2 linked regions of the Caenorhabditis elegans genome follow. The protein of the gene in region 2 interacts with the protein of the main gene of each other region in a pairwise test. Each region holds a gene or a part of one and is shown on either strand. Other genes may lie near its edges. The genes, in order: atf-4 and cebp-2.

Evidence for each region.
Region 1: the proteins of cebp-2 (region 2) and atf-4 interact in binary tests that used the Caenorhabditis elegans proteins (3 or more experiments, as listed by UniProt).

The regions. Positions count from the first base shown.
Region 1 is NC_003284.9:14,808,415-14,812,426, forward strand, and holds atf-4 (Transcription factor atf-4 homolog), read right to left. Parts: upstream 2,250-4,012; 5' UTR 2,192-2,249; coding exon of another isoform or gene 2,168-2,191; 5' UTR 2,128-2,167; coding exon 1,855-2,127; intron 1,331-1,854; coding exon 1,055-1,330; intron 1,011-1,054; coding exon 933-1,010; 3' UTR 742-932; downstream 1-741. Other genes in the region: T04C10.11 (uncharacterized protein), read right to left, coding at 2,168-2,191, 2,250-2,390; T04C10.3 (Coiled-coil domain-containing protein 96), read left to right, coding at 3,947-4,012. UniProt on the Caenorhabditis elegans protein: Transcription factor.
Region 2 is NC_003279.8:6,251,139-6,254,147, reverse strand, and holds cebp-2 (CCAAT/enhancer-binding protein homolog 2), read right to left. Parts: upstream 1,067-3,009; 5' UTR 1,065-1,066; coding exon 967-1,064; intron 922-966; coding exon 834-921; intron 787-833; coding exon 670-786; 3' UTR 564-669; downstream 1-563. Other genes in the region: lpd-2 (LiPid Depleted), read right to left, coding at 1-91, 137-274, 322-447; cof-2 (Olfactomedin-like domain-containing protein), read right to left, coding at 1,348-1,554, 1,619-1,720, 1,769-1,873, 1,916-2,075, 2,132-2,229, 2,488-2,585, 2,630-2,753, 2,796-2,888. UniProt on the Caenorhabditis elegans protein: Transcription factor that binds to the promoter and the enhancer regions of target genes. Regulates expression of genes involved in fat metabolism, including ech-1.1 and fat-5.

The sequences.
Region 1 (4,012 bases), on a different chromosome or scaffold from region 2:
TTTTTTTCTTACTATTAGCTTATAATTATCAAAAAAAAAATGTCTCGTGAAATTGAAAAGTGATTTAAATACACTTTTTGCTATATTCAAGTGCCTTCAAAAACATGTTGTTCAATACAGTTTGTGACGTAACTTCTCGACGTTTCTCGAAATTTTTCCACAGTTGTTTTATTATATATTTTTTATTTTTATTATATATATTGAAGTTTGACTTACCGTTTCCGCGCCATTTCGATGCTCCGGAAAAATTTCGATGCTGAAAACTTTGAGGCGGAAAAAGTTTGTCGTGGCAAAATATCGTCGCGGAAAATTTCGCTGCGGAAAATTTTTTTTTTTCAATTTAGTTGCGGTACATTTTCGGAGCATAAATAATTTTGAAAAACGTATATTTTTGGATGAAACCAATATTTTTTAAAAGCGTACATTTTCGGATGAAATAAATATTTTTGAATTTTCTAAACACTTTCCTATCTAAAAGAGTCTGATCCACTCGAAAAGTTTCACTAACCAAATTTCAAATTGACTTGTCCGATTCCCCCCGATATACTTTTGTTTTTCCACTCACTCCTAATTGTTTTTAGCTAAAATATGAGTTTGTCGCCAGTGTTGGAATAATGACGTGCGCTTCAAGTTCACTAGTAGTCATGATGACAAAATAAATGAAAAATGATGACAAAACAAGAAGCTACAATTTGACTACAACCAACTATAAGTGTTGGTGATAAGTTATAGATCTATCGGTTTCAGATACTTTTTTATTTGAAGAGTAAGGTTAATATCATGCAAACGAACAGAATAATACCATTGGCGTATGAAATTTTAAAAAATCCACAATTCGTACAATATAAGGGAAGGATGAAGTTTAGAAAATATTAATAATAATAAAATGAGTTGAACTTTCAAACGGAGTAAAAAACATTAAAAATTGAGGTTTAGTCGGTGACAGTTTTCATTCCCATCTCGGTCATGAACTTTTTGAAGTAACGAATTTCACGCTCCAACTCGGATACCTGGAAAAAAAGCTAATCCTCAAAATTCTTCATAATTTACAAACCTGATCCTTCAGCTTGCCATTGGTGACACTAAGACCTTCAATGCAAGTCATAGCCTCTTCCTTTTCACGACGCTTCTTTTCACGGTATCTGGTAGCTGCGAGACGGTTTTGAGCCTTCTTTCGTTCCTTCTTTTCTGGGGTTTTGTATGGGTGGTAAGATTTTTCGGATTGAGAGTCATGTTCATCTGAAGACCAATTTGAGGCTGGAGACGCGCTCGAGTTGGAACGACGCTCGATTTCTTCGCACTCGCGCACGATTTCTTCGAGAATTTGTTCCTGAAATAACATTTTTGTGAGTTTTTCATATGTTTAGATGTAAAATTCCGGATATACCGAATTGTTTTTTTAAAGTTTCAGTCAAATTTCAAAAGACTTCCAGAGGATTGCAACTCAAAAACTTCTGCAAAAGCAGATAATTGTAACCCCTAAAGTTAAAAAGCTAGGAGGTTGTTTTATTTGAATTTTACCCCTTTCAAAGTCAAATGTTCATTATTCAATGTTACTTTACCAGAAGCAACGTATCGGTTTCATTTACTAAAATATTTGCATTCGTTGACACCAAAAGCATACACAACATTTCCTCTTCCTTATAGCTTTGAATCACATGAATTTCACGTGAAACCACCGTTGCTTCTCAACCTAACTATATTTCCTTAACATAGTCTTCCCGCAGATCATTTTTGATCTCTCAACCCGATTGGTTCTCCGTTATCAAGTAGACAGACAGTTTCCATGTCAGAATTTTCGTGCAATTGTTTTTGTGAAATTTCCTGAGCGCAATTTCTGAACTATCAACTCACTTTTGCTTGTACATTAGTCTCCATTGGCTCAATTGAGCAAAACGGATCTGGTGGAACCGAAGTGCTTTGTGGAACCATTTGGAAGTTGACATCGGAGTTCAAATGATGCTGTTGATAAGATTGATGGGAGTAGGGGTTGAAATATGATTGAGGATATGTCGGAGATTGATGGTGATGATGATGATGGTTATGATATTGTGGGGTGGAATGGGTTTGATTGTGCATCCCATTATAAAGCAAGAACTGTGGATTTTGTTCATTTACATAAGCCATTTGTTGGTAATCATTTTGTCCGTATGCATGACCCGTAGGCTCAACAAACACAGCACGTGATTTCCTGGAAAGGATCATTGTTTAAACTAATTATTAATCAATTAAAAGTTAAATGAACTTACTGTACAAATTGGCGCTGTGGCGGAAGGAGCGTTCGCGATGACGTAAGATTGGTATTGAGACGGTTCGGTGCTATAGTTCATGTTGAAGTTCATAATTTTCAGATGAGATGTTTCTGCGAGAAAGTGGCTGTATGTGTCCAGTGATGTGTTGATTGTGAAATGACAGAAGAGGAAAGGGAGACGACTAGCGCTTGGTGTAGTTTGGCTGCCCCCAATCTTTTCCACCTCCGGCGTTTGCTCGATATTTTTTGTATGTTCTCTGATCGCACCCGTTTCTTATACTATTTCTCTTAGTTTATCAGGGCTGTCGCGTGCTATCTGCATCTCTCGCGGTCTCGTACGTCATCAATCGATGTGGATTAGTGGAGGAAATTCAAATATCAAAGACGTTAAGCTGATCTTTGGATTGAAAAAAGTTTCAGATTAATTTTTAATAAAATGTGTAAGTAATTCAAAAAGCTCCCAGAGTGTTTTCTTACAGTTAGGTATAATTAAGGTAGGGCTTCTCTAAACTTTCTTATCTAAATTTCCCGATATTCGCTATTTCGGATATCGGTTATTTTAGATTTTTAGCGACAGATAGCTCAGTCGGTAGTGGTCGCCGCTAACAATCTGGAGATCACGAGTTGAAGTTCAAGACCCCCTAGGTTTAACCAGCCTCTATTGGAGAGTGGAGCAATCCACTACAGGATTATCGGCCACAGTCCCAGGCTAGGATGTGGCTTAAATTATAGCCCAGTGAGATCACCACCAGTCAGTTTACCTGAATCCCAGTTCCGCAGAGCATAGCACTTGAAGAACGGATCGTCTTTTAATCCTTTAATCCTTTAGTTCGCTGTTTCGAATAAAATAATTTTTTTGAATCGGATATTTTTCGGACAATTTGGATATTTCGGATATTTTTCTTCAAATTTGTGTTATTTTTCTGTTTCAACTAATTTTTATTGAAAAATGAACAGTTTATTGAAAACCGACAACAAAAACATCAGAAAAAACTGTTTAAACAAAACAACATGTTAGAAATTAAAGAAAATAAATCAATAATTTCAGTCAACCAAGTAGCCTTCTGGCTCATCAATAGTATTCATTAGACGAATATTTTTGCTCAAAAATAGGAGCATTTTAAATTCTCAGGTGACAAAGCTTTTCGGTATTTAGTAAGACTCGTGTCGGCTGTTGAACACAGTTTCTCAGCTTCACTTGAGCCAGTTGGACAGATGATAAAGCGTCGAGCAAATTTGGAGAGGCGTGGATATGATGATTTGGTCACAGAATTTACCCAAAAATCTCTCGGACTGATAGTTTCTACTGCAGTGGAGAGATAACGTGTCACCTCCATCTTCACGGTAAAACTTTCGTCAGTTAACGATAGGTGCTCTCCACGAGGCTTGATCTTTTTCTGAAATATGTTTCAACTAAAAATTCTAGTCCGAAACGTTATTCACCTTAATGTGCAGTCAAAGTTGTCCGAGATTTTTTGAATTTTTGAATTAGGTTCATTGAGATGCAAAGAGTCGTCAAGAGCAGTGTTTGCAGATTTCTCCACGTCTTCAGTATGGCTCTGCGTCTTCTTCTTCAATCACCTTAAATAAACTCCAAAATTCAACAAAATTTTGCGTATTTGGATCAAACTCGTTTTTGTTAGAAATTTCAACTTGAGAATTTCATTCCACCCGACTGAACTTCCGTTATAAATCATGCCGTGCTTGAACAGCATGCTCAAAATCTCAACAACTTTTCATGCCTCACTTAAACTGCCAGAA
Region 2 (3,009 bases):
TTGATGCTCCACTCTCGGCGCTTGACCGGCCTAGTAGCTTTTCAATTTGAGGTTTCATCTTATCCTCGACTGGTTTCATTTTTTCAATGAACTGAAACTAGTTTTTTAGGAACAGTTGGAATACTAAAATACATACCACTCTATGCTTTAAAGCTCTTTTAACAGATGGTTCTACTGTAATTGACTCTCCTTTCATCATTTTCGACATAAGGACAGTCAACTCTCCAAGGTACGCTGTCATTTCATAGTTTTTCAGCTTCAGAAGACTAAGCCCCTGTAAATAAAAAAGTTTTTGAATAAATCTTGAGGTTTTCATTTCACTTCTTTGTCATCGTTCGTTTCCTCCATCCGATCGAAAACTTTACTGAAAGCTTTTACTGCTTCTGCAGTTTGAGTTTCCAGTTCTGCCACTAAATCAGCAAACGCTTCTTGCTCCGTTTCGGTCATCTGAAAGAAACGTTTTTTTTGATACAACACAAATTCAAAAAGTTAATTAATAAGATCATTCAAGATAAATTGTTGGAAACGTACCACACAAAAAAAAACAGTTTAAAAAAGAAAGTAAAGCGTTTTCTAAATTTATTTTTCTTTGGTTATTGGAATGCGTGAATTGAGTTATTTGTATAAAATTTACAGAAATGGTGGATAAATCTTTGATTAAATTGTTATCTACACGGCGGAAGAAGATGGTGGTGGCGGTGGTGGTGGTCCATCATTTCCGTCGTTTTTCGCATATGCCATAAACATTTCTTTAAGAAATGATAACTCTTTCTGTAGCTGCTCGACCTGATAGAGGGAATTAATTAAAATTAAAAAATCAAGTAAACAAGTACCTTTCTTTCTAGTGTTTCGTTCTCCTTTTTTAATTCGTCTACTTTTTCTGCAGTGTCATTTTCTTCCTGGCGTTTTTTTTGTCGGGTTCTGGAATTTTTAATTAGATTTTAGCGGCTAAAAATGAAATTTTACCTGTTCACAGCTTCGTTATTCCGTTTTCGTTTAGTGGAATAGTCATCTTCATCGTCCTCACGAGGCTCTGATGTGTTTCGCTTCCGATTTCCACTCATCGCTTGAAATTGCAACAAAAAATCGAGGAAAACTATGGAATTAATAGAAAAATGATGGAAAAAAGGTTTTGTGGAATTACGATAAAGTACGCGCGAGTGTGTAAAACGGAGCGTCGTTGCGTGAGACACCACAGAAATTCGAGAAAGGGGAACTAAAACTCCTGAAAAAATATATAGGAAAGAGCTACTTTCACGATATTCACGATAAATTAATTACTTTATATTTCTCGAATAAAACTGAATTTATTTTAAAATATAGTAAATGAACTATGTACTACACAAATTATTTAGCCAGCCAATGCAAAAGTGGAGGTACAGAGAGCATATAACCATGATCGTAGATGTAAATTCTCTTATCATAAGCATTATAGCTAATCATATTGGCGTTCTTGTACAAATTAATCCATTTAATCAAAGGTTGGGAGTATGTGTTTCTGTAGAAATCGTATGCCGTAGAGATATACGTGGATTGTTCTGATGCACTTTCCACCTGGAATAATGTTGATTTGATTTTGCTATTGGTCAAGCTTGATATCAAATAAAAAATTCTAAACCAAATAAATTGTTCCACAAACGACGATTCCATTTGCAACATCTGTATGATTTACTGTCGTGAGGTTGAATGCCTCATAAATTGTCAAATTATTTATATCCACCTGGAATAGTACCTAGTAGATAGATTTCAATGAACAACTTAAAATTACTTTAGCTACTGATAAGAAAGCTTCTTCCTGATAGTGAAACATGACCCAAAGTGCATTTTCATCGATTGCCAAGTCAAAATAATTCATCGAATTATTATAAAGGTACTGAAATTGGAAACTTTGACTTAAAACAATTTCAAAACTCACCTGATCCCCACGATAAGCTGCTCCCGGTATTTCAAACTGTGAGTACTGTTTCGAGTTGAACTCGTATTTTGCAATAATTGGATATCCTGCTCTTTGATAGAAAAGAGATGCATTGAAAATAACATGATTTGTTCCATCGAATATATATGGAAGGCGATGGCTGAAAAAGAATAAAAAGTTCTCAAATATTTGAAAAATTTTGAAAGAAAACCATACACTTTTCCGACATGGTCCCGTCGCATTTCAGCTTCATTCCTAAATTCGATGAGCTCGTGGCCTTGGAAATGGTTCATTACGTATCGTTTTCTAGCGTCCTGAAACAAGATATACATATGTTGAGATATGCCTTTCTCATAATGTACAGTATACCAGTACTCGGCGAACCAGTGAGTTTCGGTTTGTGACAGCTTTCCAAACTTTTTTTTACTTTTTCCCGGTTTTTTAGCATTTTCATGCCCGAACGTCTCGACCGGAAAACGCCTCCGAAAAATGAACCACGAACATACATACAGAAAGAGTTGAATAAAGTGTGAGCAAATTTTTCAGTTCCATTTTCAAGCTCCCAAACTTACATCGCCGGTTGGAGGGTATGCATCTCTCATCCAGCTTCCATAATATGTTGTAGAATGAGAATGGAACACAGGTTTTCCAACGTTTTGAAGTCGGCAATCTTAACATTCTTCAACTCCTTTTAAGACTGAATATAATACTTACGGGCAGTAACTCCTTGAATATATGCAACTGGAGTCGTAATGGTCTCTTCAATTTCTTCATCGAGAGTGTAGTTTTTCAAACATATTTTCACGCATCCCTCGACTTCACTGTAGTTGGAAAGGATCTGAAAATATGCTTTGGATCTGAAAGTTATTACTGAAGTCACCTGCTGAACCAATCCAGGCATTGGTTGATGTGTGACTGAAGGCCAGGGAGTTGTTGGAATGGCTTCTCTGTTCGGGCATTCCAGATTTTCAATCTGTAAATTCTTTCCTTCTTTGAGAAGCCCAGAGAAGCTAGGTTGTTAGACAATCTACATAGCTCACAGAATCTTGAACAACTTTATATTTCAGCTAGAAGTCACGATCTGCGACCTACCT